Linked DNA regions of Astyanax mexicanus. The protein of the gene in region 2 interacts with the protein of the main gene of each other region in a biochemical or structural test. Links are inferred from orthologs where the notes say so. Each region holds a gene or a part of one and is shown on either strand. Other genes may lie near its edges.

What was found.
Region 1: the proteins of casp8 (region 2) and dedd form a complex in vitro, tested with the Homo sapiens proteins (2 studies listed by BioGRID). The link is inferred for Astyanax mexicanus from reciprocal best matches to the Homo sapiens genes CASP8 and DEDD.

What each region holds. Positions count from the first base shown.
Region 1 is NC_064419.1:9,012,212-9,023,203, reverse strand, and holds the start of dedd (death effector domain-containing protein), read left to right. Parts: upstream 1-5,901; 5' UTR 5,902-6,108; intron 6,109-9,763; 5' UTR 9,764-9,904; coding exon 9,905-10,076; intron 10,077-10,853; coding exon 10,854-10,992. Other genes in the region: si:ch211-229n2.7 (phospholipase A and acyltransferase 2), read left to right, coding at 778-795, 1,398-1,518, 2,075-2,373, 3,411-3,491. UniProt on the Homo sapiens protein: A scaffold protein that directs CASP3 to certain substrates and facilitates their ordered degradation during apoptosis. May also play a role in mediating CASP3 cleavage of KRT18. Regulates degradation of intermediate filaments during apoptosis.
Region 2 is NC_064412.1:41,335,029-41,345,978, reverse strand, and holds the start of casp8 (caspase-8), read right to left. Parts: upstream 4,336-10,950; 5' UTR 4,277-4,335; coding exon 4,002-4,276; intron 3,755-4,001; coding exon 3,655-3,754; intron 161-3,654; coding exon 7-160; intron 1-6. Other genes in the region: ciliogenesis-associated TTC17-interacting protein, read right to left, coding at 6,785-6,967, 7,530-7,618, 7,952-8,028, 9,089-9,213, 10,304-10,471, 10,814-10,900. UniProt on the Homo sapiens protein: Thiol protease that plays a key role in programmed cell death by acting as a molecular switch for apoptosis, necroptosis and pyroptosis, and is required to prevent tissue damage during embryonic development and adulthood.

The sequences.
Region 1 (10,992 bases), on a different chromosome or scaffold from region 2:
ACACAGAGCAGCACCACAGATCCAGGGAGTCAGGGAGGCAAAAAACACCAAGTTAAAGTAACTATATTTAATAACTCTACTCAAATAAACTGAAGAAATAAAGCATTTAACTCCACTTTTCACGCTTAATATCAGTTGCTAAATCTTACCTTGAAAGATGCAAGTTAAAAAGATTAGCTTAGCGTTAGCATGCTGAGGTAACTGACCAGTATCATAGTCTGCTAAGCTAAAAAAAACTGACTGACTTTCTGTGTAACCTACATTTTATGACGTAATTTTAGGGCAAAAGAAATTAAGAAAAACAGTTGACTTAGAATAAAGTTGCAATATTATAAGAATTAAATCATAATTTTACAAGATTAAAGTCATAATGTTAAAAAGACAACTGGATATTGTATTCAAATTGTTTCAGCCTTCTTAAAAGCTGTCTTAATTGTATTACCCTTGATTGTTTTGCTGTTCCTCTATTTCCAGTTTTAAATAATATAAAATACTAAAATTAATGTAAAAATCATATTTTGTAATAAATGGATTAAAACAGAGGAAAATACACCTTAAGTCACTCCTGTTTAACTGACAGCCCAGTTTCAGTATTCACCTGACCTCACCTGTTCTAATCATTCAGGTGGGGTTTTAATGGTTTCTGGTTCTGCTGCAGTCTAACCATTCAGGTTTAACTCCTTTCAGCCCACATTCAATTTTTTTTACTTAGTCCCGCCCATCATACTTTTAAAAACACACCTGAGGAGATCTCACAGATGCGAAGGACAGGCTACAATGGATTACACAGAACAGGTAAGTCTTCTTAAATAATAAATAAAATAAAAAAAAGAATAAAATAAAAATATATGTAGTAAAAGGTGAAATGGCCTAAACTGTACTTTATTTATACAAAATTATAATATATGATTTATACAGAAATTAAATATAGCTTAAGGGGCCAGATGCCAGATTCCCACAGCTGGAAAACAGGGCAGTCAATGTGTTTAGACTGTGTTTGCTGTGTTTACATTGTGTTTGCATTTGATTTTTGATTTTGATTTTTGTTGTATTGTTTAGTTTAATTAAAATGTATAATAGTTAGAATATTAGTTTTTTAACTGTTGCATTTTCTAATAAAACAGAACATTCAGAGTTGCTCATTTTGTGATTTTTACAGTTTAACAGATTAGCACTGCCTGCTGCATAGAGCATGCTAACTCTAAACACACTGTAAACAGTCCAGTATGTGATGATCAGACTGGCTGTAAACTCAGTAAGCTGCAAGTTACTGTGTGATCTCAGTTATGAATATAAATATAATGTAGGCTATTTGACAGTGTTCTAGAAGTTTTCAGCGTAAATGTAGTTTAGAGAATGTTGTCAGACCGGTTCTAAAACCTGATCTGCACCAACAGGTCGCTGAGATTGAAGCCTCCGCCCACTTTGGAGACCTGATTGAATTCAGCTATCCTATTGGCTACTCTCACTGGGGTGTCTACGATGGGGATGGATACGTCATACATTTTGCAGTTGCAGGTAGGAAAACACTGCTTATATATATCTACAGATGTTTAATGTTTGCAATATAGAGAAAGATACAATGTTTTTGCTGAAAAATCACTTGCTTTGAACAATTGAAAGTTTCATAATTAATTATTTGGTTTGAAATGTCCATGTATTATTAAGGTTTAGGTTTTAACTCTGCATAGATTAATTCAAATACACAATCTGACAATTGAAAATAGATCAGTCAGAAGTCTTTTCAACTTATTTGTAATAATTTATTATATATTTTGGTGTCAGTTTCAGGTTTATATAGGAATGGAACCAAATAATAATTCCCCCAAAAATCATGTTTATTATGTATTGTTTAAAAGTTATGATTTAAGGGCAAATAATAAGGCAATACACACTTTTTAAATTGTGTATGTTAGAAATTTAAAAAGATGCAATTCTGAAACTTTGCACCTTGTATTTTGCTCACATTTACAACATTTCCTGAAAACATTTTAGTAAAAACACTTTTTTGTTGACCCTTAAGTTTTTCATAAATTCTAAGATGTACTTTTTTTATTATAAACCCCACCCCAAGACGAGACCCAGGTGATGAACACTTTCCGAGGCTACCTCCAAACCGTGTTCCCGGTCTGCGGGGATCTACTCATCGGGGAGACCAAAATCCGCCGGGTGCCTGTCAAAGAAGTCACCGTCCCAAAGGGGGCGCACATCTTAGTGTGCAACAACCGGCACGCTCTAAAACCATCCACCCCAGAGGAGATGAGGATCCGCCGAGACGCGCTGCTGGATAAAGAGCTCAATTATAAACTCTTCTCGCTGAACTGCGAACACTTTGCTACATTCGTGCGATACGGGAAAGCAGTGTGTAACCAGGTGAGTGCAGATCTTCAGGCAGGCCCACACTCCTAAAGAGGCACTAAACCCCCTGATTTTCGTTAACTCCACCCTCAGCTCAAATTTGAAAAAGAGTAAAAAATTTGAGGTGTAGTTTGGGAGGGGCACTGGGTGATGTATGGGTTTAGAGGAAGGGTAGGAGGGAAAGCTGATTGGCTGAGCCTCAGCAGCAGGTGGTTTTATTGATAGACTGATCTGCATATTATAAGTGTCTGTGTACCAAGGTACGCGGACACATCATCCGTGCCTATAGCACATTTAAACCTTTGAGAGCATGCTTGCCAAATAAAGCTCAATGGGAATTTTTTCAGAACTTTGATTGGGCTATTCTAACACATACATATTCTTTGATCTAAACCATTCCACTGTAGCTCTGGTTGTATGTTTAGAGTCATTGTCTTGCTGGAAGGTGAATCTCCTTCCCAGTCTCAGGTTTTTTGCAACAGGTTTTCTTCCAGGATTGCCCTGTTTTGTCTCAATTCATCTTTCCATCAACTCTGACCACCTTGCCTGTCCCTGCTGTCCCACAGCATGATGCAACCATAAACATGTTTTACATTTGGGATAGTGTGCTCAAAGTGATGAGCAGTGTTACTTTTCGCCACATTTAGAGCTTTTTAACTTAGGCCAAACCTTTCAGCTTTGGTCTCATCTAACCACAGCACCTTCATCCACACATTTGCTTTCACATTTGTCTTTCTCTAAACATTTGTTTTCTTTATGTCACTGTCCAAGCCCATGAAAGTTGATGCCGCTTTTGCAAATGGTTAACTTCTGTTTTGCACAGTCCCTTTTTGTGTTGTATAGCAGTTCTGAAATGCAGGAATATATATATTGGGTTTGTACTATGTGTAATCAAAATAAATGCAAAAAACACTGTTATTTCCATTAGCATTTTAAATGGCTTGGAAAATATCTTGTATAACCACGTTATGTGGTAACCCTCCTTTGCTTATGTTTTTTTACAGGAAATTAAAATACATTTGTGTGTGTGTGTATGTTTTTTTTTTTTTCAGATCCCAGGAAAGACCAAAAATAAGGAGTGTGAGGAGGCCACCAAAGTATTTGCGGAGATTGTGACTAACTATTACTCGTGATTTGATTATGTAACAAAAACAGTGCAAACACATGTTTAATTGTAATATAAATAAATAAATATTAAATTTCTTAAATATTTTCTTTGGAGTTTGTGGATTCACACAGCACTACAGAGTTTTTTGTGCATTTTTAAGTGTATTAATATTCTAATCAACAGCTGTAAGTTATACTGATTTGGCAGGAGTTTGGTGTACTTGGTATAATAGTGCACAAAATGGATATGAAAACACTGCCTGATGCCTGACACACTGTTTTACCAGAGTTCTGAGCTTGGAGGAATCAGGAGCATGCCTAGGCCTTGACTATGATTTCAAAGGGTTTATATTAACCCCGGGTCTTTACTCATACCAAATTTATTTTATAGGTGAACTAAGAGCAAAACCATTGTAAATCAAAAACACATATTCAACAACTCATCATCAAAACGGCAAAACGTAGCATCGTCTGAGTCTTAGACTTAATAAGAGTGATGTGAAGATGGCATACAAAACTATTGAAGGGTAAAGTCACACTGTATGCTGTATACTCAATTCTAGAGAAAACTGCAAAAGTTATGTTTAAAATGTCCTCATGTAGCTGTAAAAGTGCACTTAGCTCTCATAAGACCATTAAACAGTTCTGCGACACCTTGATTTAGCATAAATTGATTTTACGCTGTTTACATTGTATTGTCCAAAATGAAGAAATAGATCTGCATATATATGTTTGCTATATTGTCCAGCTCTAACTGCAGTCATCTGATTATAATCCAATCATGAACTGCATGTAAATGTACTCAGTGTCTTTGCCTCCTCCATGCACATTATAAACAAACAAAAAACATTTGTCTGTTGAACAACTTTACACATTTCCTGCAATTGGACTGTTAAACAATTAAACTATTTTTTCAAGCCATAATTTTTAAAGTTTTGTTGCAGGGCTATATAAAAGGCAAAAACAAATTTATTTAAAAGCTAAATGTTGTATGCTGAAAACCCCTAGCCTAATACAAACATGGCACAACAAGTATGGAAATTTGTCCTAGGTAGACATTTCCTTGTATTAGCAATGCTTCTTGGAAGTAAATCTTATACCGTTGGAATGCCTGTTCATTTTCCTTTTAAATGGTTCCACCTTTGTAAGGAACATGCATTTGTGGGATGAGTAGCAGAACAGCAAACAACTTATTCACCCATTGACTCATTTGGTGTTTGAAAATCTTCTTAGGGTATCGTCTTTTTGGGAGGCCCTACTTAATGCCCTGTCTCTGACATTCCCCATTATCCCCGGCATTCAGTTTGGAGATGGTATTAGGGCACAATTTGTGCAAAGGGCACAAACACATGTTCCTTACAAATGTGTTAACAATTAAAATGGTTATTAACAGGCTTTCCTACTGTATAAGATTTATTGCTAAGAAGTAAGAACATTGTTACAACAAATAAATAATCTACCAAACAAAAATATCCTTACTTTGTGTGCTATGTTCCTGTTACATGAGCCACTGAAACCAGTTCAGCAGTGCTACTCACTTCAGCTGTCAGTGATTTTAATGTTAAGGCTGATCATTCTATGCAGTAAAACAAGGTAGATGCCATTTTCTAATGGTGTGACAGTAATGATTAACAGTACAGTAATGAGACGCTGCCTGGGAGATCACTGGTTCGAAACCCGCCCATGTAGCTTGCCATCAGCTGCCGAAGCCCTGAGAGAGCACAATTGGCCATGCTCTCTCTGGGTGGGTAGCTGGCTCTCTCTGCCCACATCACTCAAAAGGGTGATGTCTGCAGCACAAGGCGTCTGTGAGCTGATGTATTGGAACTGAGCCTCTGCGCTTTTCTCTCAGCGTGCTGGCTACTCGGCCATGCTGCATCAGCAGCAGTAATTCAGGTTACCCTCCTGGTGTAACCTCCTAATGAGTGGGTTAAGTAACTGGCCTTTTGAACTGGGGAGAAAAAAAATCAACCTTTATTTTGAGTTCATTGAGGGCAAGCCTTATTTTAATGTAGCCGAGCATTTACAAAAACAGGGATTGACACTACAAAGACTACATTTAATAATTTTAAATTAAAAGAATATTATATATAAATAAATAAAAATAAAAATGTATCAAATGTATCAAAACTTGAGGTTTAATTTATAATAAATTAAGATGAAAAGAAGATCATATAAAACACAATAAAAGAATAATAAATAATAATTATAAAGAAACGAATTGAAATAAGTTAAAAAGTAATAATACATATAATGAAAAATAAAATAATGACATACATGTTTATTGTTTTGTGACAGAAATAATGATTTTTACACTGTCACTGTACAGACCTTCGCTAAAATGATAAATAAGCGCTGATTGGTCCACAGACCCATGAACTCGAGTGTGGGCGGGGTCAGCGCTGCCTCCGTATCCCGGATGTTGCCCCCCGCTTTGGACATCCCCGGATGTTCCTTCATCTTAGCAGTGGGCAGTAATGGCCGCTCCGCTGAAGCGCTGCTGCGGGACTCCGCTCACACCCAGCCCGGCCGCCCTCACCGCCAGCCCCGCCAGCTCAGCCTGCCCGGCCGCACCCAGCGCCCTCTCCGCCTGCTTATAATCGCGCCCAACTCCCCTCACAGCCCGGGTTCCGGAGACCAGCGGTTGGTAAACACAGCCTCCTCACTCCGCCTAGCCTAGCCTAGCTTAGCTACATGCTAAGAGAATCAAATAAACAGCGGACAGAACCGCACGAACCAACACAGCTAACTACCTAGCAAGTCATTTGATCACGTACTGCAGGACTACACACAGAGCCTAGCCTAAATCTCGTTGTCTAGAACGCCAAAGCCGCTTTTATCCGCGTTAGTTGTCTATGTTAGTTAACCTAGCTAATACCATCCGGTCTGCTCTTCTGTTTACAGCGCGAGTAGCAGCTTTTCCAGCCCCGTGCACGAGCCTGTGGTTATTAGCTAATTGGTTCCCTTCAAAATCTAGTAGATTGGTAACTCGCAACCAGCGTTAGAGTTCTGTGCAGGAGCTGAGGAGTGGTGTAGATAGCTAAAACCCAAAGGGGCAGGCGAAGTTCTCACGCACGCACGAGCTGAGAACGTTGCAGGCAGTTAGAACAGAATACAACACAGCACACAGTGACTGTTCTTATGTGTTCTTATGCTGTTATAACTGTTATAACTGTTCTTATGCGCACGAGCTGCTGCACGTTGTGGCTGTTTAAACTGTCTACAGTGGTTCTCAAACATTTTAGACCATGTAGCTCCCAAAATCAAACTATAAAGTTATTAACAGCAGCATATGAAGACTAGGGACATGTGTAATGTGTAATAAGGCTGTTTGATATCTTGCTGTCAGTGTGAAACTCAATAAATTAATGCTATTGCTGTCATCTTGAAGGTAATGACATTTGGAGAATTTTTTTTTTATCTGACAGTGAAAATATGTCATTGTCTACAATAAAAACTGTCAAATTAGTAAATTCCTAGTGATTTTGGTATCCCCTGGTGCCCACAGGCAAAAAAGGTATTTGGGGGTCTACCACCTTTGTGTGCTTCAGTGACCACCAGTGGTACATGTACTACAGTTTGAGGACCACTGGTCTAGAACATGACTTTGTCTGAAAGGGGATTGCTTTGATGAATGCTTTGCTCAATTACACAGAACATGAAAGTCGTTGTTCTGTAAGGTTCTGCATATTAATTATACTCCTGTAGTTCTGCTGGGTGTTTTAGGTTCTTGACAATTGAAAGCACTGTTTTAAAGGATTCTGGATGTCAGCTTAATGTTCTGTTTACTGAGATTGTGAAAGTGTCTTCAGAGGGTTCTGCACAGCATTAGCTGAGTGCTTTAACTATTAGGGTTGTACATTGACAAGCATGTTATGATGCACATCACAATGCAGGGGTTATGATTCAATATGTCAGTGTTTCAGCCATTTTGCAGTACTGTAACCAATGTGATTTATATTGTGATTTTAAACAGTCATAATATAAAAAAAAAACATCTATAAAATCTGATTAATAAAGGTCTACTTTTTATCCAATCAGAATAGTGGGATGTAAGGACAGAGTAAAACACTGCTATGTTGTTGAGCGGGTCTACTTTTTATTTAATCAGAATAGTGGGATGTAAGGACAGAGTACAACACTATGTTGTTGGGCGGGGCTTAACCAGTTTAACTCAGTAACTCATTCTATAGTTTTGATGCTGGTATTCAGTAGCTGATCTAAATGATCCAGGACCAATTAAAATGATTCACTAATTGCTCTAAATGGTTCAGTATTTAATGTTAGCGATTCATTAACTACATACATGATTCAATAACTGCTATTAATGTTTCCACAGACTGTATCAACTACAGTCATTTACTAAAGCCTTTCTATGAATCAGTTTCTGCTATGCTATCGTTAATAACAAAATAATTCTTTAGTTGCCCAAGATGTATGTTTGGAGTGTACACATGTATTTATGCACAGTTTCAACATGTCTTTAAATAACGGGCTCAGTTTGAGCAACACATTAAATTTAGATTGTAGAAGCTGAATGTTGAATGTTGGGTAATAGTTGTTGAACTGAATGGATGTCCCAGGGTAACCTGTAAGTCCTGTGAGTGAGACCAGTCTGTTGAGCAATCCAGTTTAATCTGAGCAGATTCCAGTTCTTTGACAGCAGCTCAGGGCTGGAGGGCTACAGTGCAGCACAGTTCATTTAGTTTAACTGGGTCTAGTTGGTTTGTGTTGTGGCAGGAAACCACCTACTGTACAACACTGGACACGTGTATTCTAGGGATTTAGTCACATGATTTCAGTTGCTAACAAAGCTGCAGTGGCTTCAGCCTTTAACTATAACTAGGCTAGTGACCTGAGTGGTTGGTTTGAGTAAAATGATGCTTGTTAGTAGATATTTAAGTATAAAAGGGCAGAAAGCAACACATTTGTAGTGTGAGTAATGCCAGCATGGTGGATGGGTGGAGACACAGCTGTCATATAATTTACCTGTTTAATAACTCACCTGCAGAGACATCACAAACTCTCTCATGCTTTCTAGAAAAAAAAAAACTAAACATCACATTTTAGGGACCAAACATCTGCCTTTGCCAATGTTCATTGGTGAATGATGGCTAAAATGATCACTTTAATTTGTAAATTAGTTTGTAGATGTTTTGAATGATTGTTCTGATAATGCAAAAAGCAGCACATTTTGTTGCTCTAACTTCATCTTTGCCAGCTTAGCTATGCCAGGGTGTTCTGTGGACTCCTACTAATTGATATGTGCTGCACACAACCACAGTCTTTAATGTTTCATGAGTTTTTTTTGTGGTAAATCTGTGTTGTACTTAATAACAAGGCATCTCTTAGGGGTGTACTCACTTTTTGCCAGCGGTTTAGGCATTAATAGCTGTCTGCTCATTTATTTTGAGGGCACAGCAAATTTACAATGTTACAAGCTGTGCACTGACTACATTGTATCAAAGTGTCATGTCTTCAGTGTTGTCCCATTAAAATATAGAATATTTATAAAAATGTGAAGTGTGTATTTGCTTTTGTGAGATACTGTATACTATGAAAACACGTGAAATTACGATGCACTATGTCCATTAATACGTTACAAGTGATGAGGAAGATAGCACCACCCACCCACTCAAATTCAGATTCAAACCAAAAGTACCCAAATCATAGGCTACATTCACATTACAAGCCACATTGCTTAAATCTGATATTTTGCTTAGATTTGGCTATTCTGAGGGTTTAAATTCAGAAATGTATAAGTGACCTGTATCTGAGTATAAACTTCGCCTTTTTCACCAACAACAAAAAAAGTAATATTTAAGAGACGACTCGTAGCTTTATAAAGGGAAATGGATGTGTTAGCAGCTCATATGTGGAGCATCTTTTGCTGGAGTGGAGAGTAAACAGCTGGTCTGAAGGACATGCTCAGGTTGAACAGGTGAAAAAAGGCCAAGCGGTTTGCTTTTGCTGTTTTTGCAGCTATTAGCTGCACAGTTGCACCAAGAGGTGTGTGAGTACAAGAGAGAAGCCAGCAATGGTCGACCCCGGTCTGGTGATGACAAAGCAAAAAGACGCATGAATTTTGATTTGACCGTTCACATTCATGTCTCATGTCTATGGATCGAATACGTATCCGATTTAGGACCACATATGAAAGTGACTCAAATCTGATTTGAAAAAATCAGATTTGGCACATTCACACAGCCATGAAAAAAATCTGCCAGTGGTTTTAATTTTATGGCTGATTAATGATCAGATATAGTTACTGATTATTGTTTTTTTCTTTTTTTGACAGGATGCAGCTGGGTGAGACTGTTTCCTGTGGTTTGTGTTGAATTATATAAACGTTAATTTAGCATTAATTTGCAGTACAACATCGTCAACAACGGTGACATCAACCCTCCCACCCTGCCGTCCACGTGCTTGGAGCAGAGTGATGAGCTCACAGCAGCGTGGGAATGCCACCCCGCCCCTCCTCGCTCCTCACACCTCGTCCTCCAGCCATGGTAGGCGGGGCTCGTCTCCCGGCCCAATGGACTCCTACCCACGATCCTCCAGGAGGGGCTGGGGTGGCACGTCCTCATCCACAGCAGCACACGCTAATGCAGGTAAGCGGAAATGCTCTGGTTTACTAACAGACTTACCTGCTATTCTATTAAATATGTACAGTTAAAAAGAAATCTCGTGTAACATTGACTTTGGGTGTGGTAAAACATGATGAAGTACTTTTGTTGAATAATTGTTGAGTCATTTGGTGCTTTTTGCCCAGCACGCTGTACAACGGGCGTATAGTATTGTAGCAGAGTCTATGTATGTATGTCTGTCATTATCAGTACAATGATGGCGGCACACGAAGCTGAAAGCTAGTGGCACGGGATGTAAACTGTGCACTTATCGGGGCTATATAGAGTGTAGGGCAAACAGCACAAAATTACTATCTCAGGAAGCTGTAGGAAAGTGGTGGTGGGCTATTCAACAAAGGGAAGTACTTTTTTTTTTTTTAAATCATGTTTTACTACACCAAAGTCAATTTTACACGAGTTCTCCTTTAAACTTTAAAAGGGGGGTAAGAAAATGTTATCAAATAATTTTTGAATTAAAATTAAATTTGAGTTTGAATTTTAACTCACATCCAACTGTATGCAAACAATAACATGATGGGGTTTCTCACGAGAAATGTTTTGTATATATATATTTTTTTGTTTGTTTTTGATCTCAAAAGATTTAAACAGTGGGGTTTTGATGCATAGCATTTACAGCATCAGTTACTGACCCCACATATTGTCCATATTGTCCGTTCTTAGGTTAAATATATTCTATCTTTCAAATAATATCAAATCAATGTTGATGGTTTTCAATATCAATGTCTTTCTTCCTATTTCAAGTGAGCAGAACATCTTCAGCCTCCTGCAGTAGCTCTACCTTGTGTAGTATCCCCACCTCCTCTCGGAGAGCTGCGTCGGGCCGCTCTGAGCCCTGGCCGGAGGAGGCAGTGGACGACGCGTATGGTCTTTACTCGCTGCA
Region 2 (10,950 bases):
ACTCACCTGGAACTGAATTGTAATCTTGTTCCCTCTGGAATTCCCGGACCTGGTTGGCCAGCTGTTTGTCACATTTATCCAGTACCTCTACCAGTTCATCCAGGCCATCGTTTGTCAGCAAATGGGACTTCTCCATCTCAGTTACAACATCCAAAAATGTCTGTAAAGTTCAAGAGAAAAAAACAAAATAAAACAAACAAAAAAAACAATTATTATTCCCACCCCTCCACTTATCACATGATGTTGCCATTTTGAATGACAACTACAATTATAGTGTACCCTATGGGGCAGGTTCTCAGACAGGAATTAAGCCTAGTCTTGGAATACACAGCATTTTTGATAAAGGTTTTACATTGGAAAGAAAATATATTCTATGACTACTAGGGGTGTAACGGTACATTCACTCTTTTTAAACCGTCACAGTACGGGAGTCACGGTTCGATTCGCACAAACGTCTATAGGATATATGTGGAACCAATTAACGTAATGTGGAACTAATGGAGTGTTGCACCCGGAAAGTGTAGCTGTAGCACTGTTGCTATTAGCAACTTGCTACTGAATTAGCCCATAGCCAGGCCTGAGAAGTTTAGCTCTGGCTGAAAACAGTGCAGTCTGGAGCACACAAGCAGAGAGCGCACACAGAAACGCAGATCATTCGCTCGTATGGGTTCTCGCTCGCTCGATTGCACTCTCTATCTATCTCTCTCTCTCTCTCTCTCAGATATTATAATAAAGCACAAAACGATCTAATCTGCCAGACCTAAATCACTACAATATTCCAGCATTAAAAAATTTAGTGTCAAGTGATTGACACCGCCAATATAATTTAATTTTGACAGTCTAATGCTGATATTTCTTAAAAAGAACTCTGAAATAAACACTGAAATGCAACCAGTAATATTCTTAGAAAAAATATTTGTAGTTTAGGCTAAAAGTAAAAGTAAAGTTAAAGTAATGCTAATGCTTTTGTTCCTAATAAAGCTTCACAATCACGCTCATTGTTTGTTCCAACAAGATCTAAAAGATGGAGCCTCTCATGATGACAGTAGGAGAGAACCCTGGTTTCAAGCATTTAATAAAAGAGCTCGAGCCCCGTTACAACATTTCATCCCAAAAAACTAAACATGGTTATAATGAAGATTCACTGTTATTATAAAGTTAATAAAGGTGAGGCTATAAAGAATTCCCAGCCTCTTTATTTTTTCCACCAACTGTACTGAAAACGCACAGAACCGCGGGGCTTATACCGAGGTGTGAATCAAACTGTGAATTTTCTGTAGTGTTATACCACTAATGACTACTCTTAAGCCCTGTCTGAGAAACTAACTTTATATATGGCTAAATATTTGTGAACTCCTCTTCTAATGTGAATGCATCCACACACGCACAGCTCGTCTAGTGCCTGTAGGCAAGTGTTGTCAATAAAATAATAAAATAAAATAGTTAGACTAGAGTAGACTAGAGTAGATAAACATGAACCTATTGGCACCATGCCTAATGCAAGGCATGGGCTAGAGGGATATAAAACTCCCAGCATTGCTCTGTGTAGCAGCTGAACTGTTTTATAACTGTGTTAATAGCAGTATTCTGTTTTAAAAGCAGCCTTTGTTTGCATTACTTTTGATATTTACTTTAAAGCTATAAGGGTATTTTTATATAATTGTGTTAATCTTTATATAAGTTTCTGTCGAAACAGATACAGTGAGTCCAAGAAGTATTTGATCCCTTGCTGATTTTCTTTGTTTGCCCACTAATAAAAAGACACTATCCTTCTGCACTTTTAATGGTAGATATATTCTAACATGGAGAGACAGAATATCAAGACAAAAATCCAGAATATAATTTTAAAGAATATATTTTAATTAATTTGTATTTCAATGAGGAAAATAAGTATTTGATCCCTCTTGCCAAACACACTCAATACTTAGTGGCAAAGCCTTTGTTTGCAAGCACAGCGGTGAGACGTTTGTTGTAGTTAACCACAAGTTTAGCACACACACCAGGGGGAATTTTGGCCCACTCTTCTTTGCAGATCCTCTCTAAATCATGAAGGTTGGTGGGCTGTCGCTTGGCAACTCTGACCTTCAGCTCCCTCCATAGATTTTCGATCGGATTGAGGTCTGGCGACTGGCTGGGCCACTCCATGACCTTAATGTGATTTTTCTTGAGCCAATCCTTTGCTGTATGTTTAGGGTCGTTATCATGTTGGAAGACCCAACCACGGCCCATTTTCAGATCCCTGGCAGAGGGGAGGAGGTTGTCCCTCAGGATTGTGCGGTACATGGCTCCATCCATCTTCCCAGTGATGCGGTGAAGTAGCCCTGTACCCTTGGCAGAGAAACACACCCAAAACATTATGCTTCCACCTCCATGCTTGACGGTGGGCACAGTGTTCTTGGGGTCATAGGCGGCATTTTTCTTCCTCCACACATGGCGGGTGGAGTTGAGGCCAAAAAGTTCAATTTTGGTCTCGTCTGACCACAAAACCTTCTCCCAATAACTTGGTTCATCTTTCAAATGATCATTGGCATACTTGAGGCGTGCCTCCACATGTGCTCTCTTCAGCAGGGGTACCTTTCAGGCACTGCAGGATGTGAATCCATTGTTACGCAAAGTGTTGCCAATTGTTTCCTTGCAAACTGTGGTCCCAGCTGCCTTCAGGTCATTTGCTAACTCCTGCCGAGTGGTTGCAGGACGATTTCTGACCGTTCTCAGCATCATTGCCACCCCACGAGGCGAAATCTTCTTTGGAGCACCGGGCCGAGGTCTGTTGATTGTCATGTTATACTCTTTAAACTTTCTGATAATTGCACCAATAGTTGTTACTTTCACATCCAACACCTTATTAATCTTTTTGTAGCCCATTCCAGCTTTGTGAAGGTCAACAATTCTGACTCTGAGGTCCTGTGACAGCTCTTTGGTTTTACCCATGTTGGAGACTTGAAATCTGTGTGATCTGTCTGATTCTGTGGACAGGTGTTTTTCACACAAGTGATTAGTGAGAACAGGTGGCTTCAGGTCAGGTAACAAGTTGATTGGGAGTGTCTAACTGGTCTGTAAAAGCCAGAACTGCTAATGAATACTAAGGGATCAAATACTTATTTCACTCCATGAAATACAAATCAATTAATATATATTCCTTAGATTTATTTTCTGGATTTTCTTTTTAATATTCTGTCTCTCCATGTAAGAATACATCTACCATTAAAAGTATAGAATGATCATGTCTTTATTAGTGGGCCAACGAAGAAAATCAGCAAGGGATCAAATACTTCTTGGACTCACTGTAAATGTTTACAGATATTTTTGTTTCTACTGAATGTTTAAAACTGTTCATTTACATTTAGGGCCCTATTTTAGCGACCTATAGTGAACTAGTTAAGTGCACTTTGCGCCGCTGGATTTAGGGGCGTGTCCGTTGTCTTTGGTATTGTGTAGGCCTTGCGTAGCTCCAACAGCGCAAGAGGCGTGTTCTAAATCTTTTAATTGTTCATGGGTGTGTAACGTGATCAATGTGCCAGTAGTCATTCCCTTTAAGACGCAGGCATATCACCCACCCAAAGAGATACTGCAACATAAGTAAAATAAACTTCAAAAGAAACAACAAATGAGCTGTATGAGGGGTTTTATGTTGCTGGAGACCTCTATACTCACAGCGTCCTGCAGCTTTGCTTTGGGCAACCCATCCAAAAGGAACTTTATGGCACGCAGATTTTCAGCCGTTACATCTTCAGACAGTTTATACAGCATCTTCCTACAGGAAGCATGTGTTGGTAATGTGAATACATGATTTCTATGAGAAGAAGAAATCTCAGAAACTATCCTTAATATCCAGTCAGTTGGCAATCATTAATCATAATACAACAGCAGGGAGCTCAAACATAACATCTGAATTTTCAAAACAAAACAAAAAATAAACTGACTAAAGTACAGATTTATTTATATAACTAATACGATTGCATTATAGCTCCAGACCCTAACAAATACCTGATAACCTTTACCTGTACGGAGAAATCGCAAGCCACCTGTTGACCTCTCTTTTATTGGTGCCCAGAAATGTCAGCAGGTCATTGCGACGGATGGTATAAAGCAACTCAGCAAGGAAGCGAGGATCATCCAGCAGGGCCTGTTCTCTCAGACGCAGGAACAGGTCCTTGGCATCCTTCACGTTCTCCAGACGCTTGCGAGAAATAACATCTGAGCACAGAAACTTTAAGGCAGCCACTTCACTCTTTGTCAGCTCCTCATCTATAATGTGAAGTGTATTGAGTTCCATACTGGGCAAGAAACGGACCTGATCTGGAAACTTGCTGTGCCTATTTTGACTGTGGACGGTAAAAGACTGATCACAAGAAAAGTCACCAATAGAACATACTGTCTCTTTTATCAATACTTTTTCAACCACGAAGACACCAGGGTTTGCAACCCCTCCCACCCTTCCCTAGTGCACTATCACTGAAGTTTTTAAATTAATTTTACATATGTTTCATTTACTTATGGGTATGTACCTATGTAACGCAACAATACAAAATACATTTCTTTAGTTTTGTTTAAAAGTTCATACATACAAACACATACATACATGCATGCATACCAATATTATAATGATATATATGAATATATATGAAAAATGATCATGGTCAGGCTCTTAGGGATTAGGGGAACATTATTATTTTATTTATTTATTTTTTTTTGGATGAACCATCCACCTGTTACAGAATGTTTTCCCTGAATTACCAGCTGAGCTGAATTTACCTACTGTGAAAAAGGTAAAAACAGCAGACGCAGCTACGGTAACTTTAACATTAGCGCCAAGCTAAACACAGACCAAAGACTTCAGCTCTACAGACACTGAAATATCGAGCACAGAATCGGTGTTAACCCGCCCGGATCAGCGACACATTAGATAAACTACAGCGCTGTTGGAATTTAATCCTGCCTCGAGTTGTATACCATCTATCTAGCTAGCGTTAGTTAGCCTTATGTTTACACTTCCGGTGTTCTGTCGAGTTGCGTTACCCCACGATAAGAGCTATTTAGCTGTTCTGCGCATGTGCAGACCCAAAACGTTTTTTTTACATTACCATTCTTTCTGATCCATTTCCTCGCTATACACAGTCTATGATTTCCTCGGACTTTTTCACAATTTTAGCTTACATTTACTAATGCAGAATGTTACAAAAGTGTAAATTGCGATTCAAACTTAAAAAAAATATCAGTCCTCTCGTATTTATTACCCTGAAATAGTTATTAAATAACTATATAGTTAAATAAATAGTAAATATTTATCTTATACCTCAGCTGGGAGCATTTTCTGATATGATACTTTCAGTCCATCCAAAATATTCCACCCACTGCTTTATTTAGGCAGCGTTGTCTGTCAATACAGCAGAGTAGCACATTTGGGCAATGTAGCCAAATTCGACAGAACACCCGGCCTGGCTGCTAGTTACAGAAAGTTTGTAATAACGCTAAGCGAAATTCTATATTATTTCTTACCTTCACATTTAGACACTGGTCACTCTGGTCCTTATCCGGAAGTTCGTGGCGATGCCAACGTTCACTCACAGTTAAAACCCCAGAAACAGCGTTTCTATCTGTTAGTTTACTCGGAGAAGATCAGACCTGGCTACATTACTCCACACCGACCGACACAACTTTCAGTTTCGATAAGATCCCGAGGCTAATAAAGAGTTAAAACAACCGAACAGGGAGTGGAAACCCCGCAGTGACGCACTCGCTTCTGAGTTACTTGTGTAACTTAGTTTGCTGTAATTTAACTAAACTAAAGAAATTAATGACGCTGTTTGTGGTCAGAGTTGGACCTGTTTCGATCACACGTGGATCATTGTAACATTAAGCAGTTACAGTTTCTGAGGCTAAACGTGAAAATAGAAAATTAACTGTAAAAATTAAATTATTATTTTCCGTTTGGTGCAGTATAGAGAAGCTAAGTTTTCATTAATTTCAACAAATTATTATTATTATTATTATTATTATTATTATTATTATTATTATTATTATTATTTTGTCTTATCAATCTGAATTTACATGGATTACATGAATTTAATAGGGAAAAATCTTTTAACAAAATCAGTTTGGGTTAAGCCATTAGAATGGTTAGAGGACTTAATTCAAATTAAAAGTCCCGATTTCACACACCACATTACATGCTTTTAGTAGAGAAGGGCATTATGAAAAAATGTTAATCATACAGAGATACATTTTTTAAACCAACATCACGCATATCTTCAGAGCTTAAACACTGACCCAACTGTATTTTTTTATGACTGAGTATAATTAGTCTTGTTTAATTGGATGGTGAGAAACTGAATGTATATTAAGGTGCTATGCCTGAGTTTTTTTTTATTTTTAATAAATAATATAAAAAAAAAAAATAAATAAAATAATAATCTGCAGTTGAAGCATTTTGTCTGCATGTCAAAACATGGTGATAAACAGTGTGTATTTTGAAACATGTTTAATTATCGTGATACCATTTTTTACTATATTGCTTAGCTCTAGCCTTTAGGTTCCTAAAAAATGTAAACATTAACATTTGATTCTAACAAACACAAAATATAATAAATAATTATAATAAATAAATGTTATTTTTTTGGTTATATATCCCATAGGATATAAAAAATAAAACACATCAAAAAAATGTTAAACCTAGCACAAAATGGAAACTCTTTATTAAAATTACTCATCACACAGGATAAAGGCCTGACAGGTTATGAGTTTTTTTTTCTTCCAGTAAAGCTACTTTAAAAAACTTTATGGTTCAAGAAGTCTTGAAGCTGCTGTCTGGTGGGCGCTGAAAGTCAAAGGGAGCAAAGAAGTCTTGAGCAAAGGAGAAAACATCCTGAGGTTTCCTTAACAGCAGGAACTGCATAAAATCCGCCAGCAGCGTCTTCAGCTCAGGATGATCTCTAACATAAGAGGAGTGGCCTGCTTTCAGCTCTTCCTGCAATATGGAGAATATGTGGAGCAAGACGAGAAATATGCAGAATGTGTTACTTGGTGTATAACATCTCAATACATTGTATTATGTAGAATATACACAGTCCAGAGTCAGAATATTACAACCGCATCCTTGTTTCTACGCTCACTGTCCTTCCATCAGCTCCACTGATCATATAGGAAACTTTATAGTTCTATAATTACAGACTGTTGTCCTGTATCTGTTTGTCTGCATAATATATTATCCTCCTTTCACCCTGTTCTTTAATGGTCAGGACCCCACAAGACCACCAGAAAGCAGCTGTTATTTGGGTGGTGGGTCTTTCTAAGCACTGCAGTGACACCGTCCACAGGATGGTGCAAGAATGACCCACCACACAAATCACAGCTGCAATGTGTTGGAGGAAGATAATAGGAGGATAATAAAATATGCAGAGTAACAGAAGGGATACACTCTGTAATTATAGAACTACAATGTGTCCTATATAATGAGTGAAGCTAAAAAAATGGATAATTGGTGTAGAAACAAAGAAAAACAAAATGAGATCAATATGATGATTTGACACCTTTCTGTCAAGAAACTTTGAGTGGAGCTCCATATCTTCCTCCCAGACCAGGGGCTTCTTCTCAAACACTGGCTTCTGGTCTCTCTCCTCTAGAAAATGAACATGTCACAGTGTGGTGAGGTCTCAACCCACCTTTATTTAAACCCTTTATTTGGCCCTCATTTACAATGTAGCCAAGCCAATAACATTGATAAAGAAAATGCCAGCACTTAATTAAATAAAAAAATAAGATAATGACAAATATACATAAAATAGTTAAATGCAAGAGTAGGATTCTAATGCAAGGAAATCATAAAAGCAATAAAAAGTAAAATAGCAACAACAGTGTAACTTACGTAATACATAAGCAACTACTAAAATTATTAAAATAACAAACAAAGGAAAAAAAACAAACAAGGAGATAATGTTTTATATTTACAGACCTTTATTTGCTATGGGAGGGAGCTGCAAGAGGTTCATAGTAACTGGAGAGCCCAGCTGTACTCTGCTGGCTAAATGGCTACACTTAGAAAAAGTGAACAATAAGTTAATATGGTGTATAGTGCTGTGTTTATAATAAAGCAATATAGCTTTATTTTTTCTAGTGTTTAATCAGACACCAACAGAACCTGCTCCTTATGTAGAAGTCGCACAAAAGAACAACAACTCAATATTCTTTAAATACATGAGTGATTCTCCATTACAATTTAGTTTTTTATTTAATTTTTTATTTGTAGAGGTGCCAAAGCTAGGTAAGCTATGTAGATGGTATTTATAGGGTGTTAAGTAAGAGGCAGGGCATATTACTCCACCCAAACTTTATTATTTCATTTTTCTATATATGAAACCAAAATAATAACAAATGTTTAATTTAGCTATTTAATAAAAGAATTGTAAGTGCCTTTTTCAGTTTTAGAAAAGTGTAAGAATTATACTATCTTCTGAGATTTACTTTAGCAGCTTGTATATACAATCTCTATTACTCCATTTTGAAAATCGCTCTAACTCTTTAACTTCTGCTCAACTGTTCAGTAGAGAACATTTGAGGCACTGTATTATATATATATATATATATATATATATATATATATATATTATATATAATAAAGAAAGTGTTAAACTGAACTCAAACTGACTGTGCCATCTCTACTAATCAGCAGAGGCACATCAGGCTACTAAACTCCACTATAGGTGGCTGTGTTTCTCAGTAGTATCACTTCTCATTCGAAATTTTTTCCACATATGTTTATTGTTTTTGGCAGAATTTCTGTAGGTTTACAATATAACATTGTATACATATAACTTACCATAACCTATCATTTTCACCTACATAACACCTACAAATAGGCAGGTATTATAGTTTCAGATAAAAAATATAGCTTTTATCTTACTGATGACATCAAAGCGTTGTACTCAAATTATTTTAATTAACCACCCAACACCAATATGTAGGTCATAAAATTATGACTTTATAAAATTGAGAGAAAATTGTCTATTACATCTATAAAAATCCTATTGGAAATAGAGAGCCATGTAAATCTAATGTATTTATAGAGCAGTTTAGCAGGAGAAAATTATACCCATCTGGAAGGAAGTAGCAGTGCCAGGATGCTTGGATGTCATCTCCAGAAGATATAGTCATCTCAATGCCAAACACATCCACCATCTCTTTACCAACCACCTGCTTCTTTGTGCCCAGTTCCCTCTGAAATGACAGGAAAATAAGATTTACAAGCAAGTGGGGATTAATCTTTATCCACTGTAACTTACAGAATAATGAATGTAGAGAATCTATAGATGTATGTCAGAAAGAAATATTCAAATATTTTCTACAACAAGTCTAACAACCCGTCTAAGTGCTCGCTTAGTGTGCCATATATATTTGTGGGGCACCTTTCTGCCATATATTTGACAATTGAACTCTATAGCTTGAGTAAGTGGACATTACAGATCTCGATAACATGCTGCTCACCAAGCTTCACATTCACAAAGATTTTTTTTAAGATAGGCTGTGATTGTAATACAATAATGTGCAAAGCAAGTCAATCCCCCTTCCCCACCATTATTAACAAAAACATTAACAATCGTAAAGTACCTAGGGGTGCCACCTTTCAGAAATGGAAATAAGGGACGCCCACCACGGCTCCTCTGGGCCATGACTACCATGGCCTGACTCCTGTGTGGCGGGGCACATGTAGCAGTAGTATGTTTTATTTTGTTTACATTACATTTTTTGTGCCTGTGGTTTTTATTTTATTATGATTTATTTTATTTTTATTTAAGTAGCCTTTTTATCTGGTAGAATCTTTTGATTCAGTTTATGCACACAGTTGGCACTGTCGTAGCTGAGGTTGTGTATGACAGGAGTGGGATGAAAATAGTTTATTAAATTAAACAGAATTTGTCAGCTCATTGTCTTTGTAATTAATAATACACATGTGACACATGGGAAGTCAGCTATGATGCAGGATTGCCAAGTAGCCAGTGTTCTGGTAGGAAATCGCAGTGACTTGGTTCCATACATCAGCTCACAGACGCCTTGTGCTGATTAAGATCACCCTAAAAGTAATGAGGGAAAAGAGCGCCATCTACCCACCAAGAGACAGCAAAACCAATTGTGCTCTCAGAGCTCCGGCAACTGATGGCAAGCCAATTCAATTCGTTCTTTAAATGGTCATACAATATTCTTATATTGTATAATACTACTGTATATTAAATAAATTATCTTTCATTCTATAACAAAAACTCTACATCAGTGTAACAGGGCCATAAAACTATATGAAAGAAGTACTTACATAGGTTGCCACACTAAGCTGGGTGTCAGCATTGAATGACAAGAACATAATCTTCTCTGGAATCTTCTTCTGCTGAGCTAAAATACGCAGGATGATAAAGTTGGTGGCCTCGGACACAAAACCTTGTATAGAGTGAAGGGGTAATGTGAATGTTTGCTTCTTCACTTCCTGTAAGAGGTAGACATGTACTTTACCATAAAGGCACTAAATCCAAATGTAGTGCATAGATATGACTAAAAACTCCACATACGACTAAAAATTCTAAATGCTCAAGACAAATAGTGAAATATATGATACAATATAATAAAATGAAAATCTTACATTAGAAAATATCAGCATTTATTTGTAACAGGATCTGTGCATGTAAGTAATCTATGTATTTTAATAATAATTGCACAGTATTGGTACAGTATTTGCCTAATTCAGTAAATTGTACTAGATAACGCTGTACAAAGTCCAGCAAACTAGATAACTTTTTGGCTAATTGGTGTGTAGCACACCCATCCTCACCTCCTTCTCTGTAGTGACTCTGTTCACCACAAGACAACCGTCTCGCCTCACCATGTTTACCTTTCGGTCTAACATGTGTTCCTGCACCTGGAGCATTTAAAACACAGCTTAATACAAACCACTTCATATATTTGACT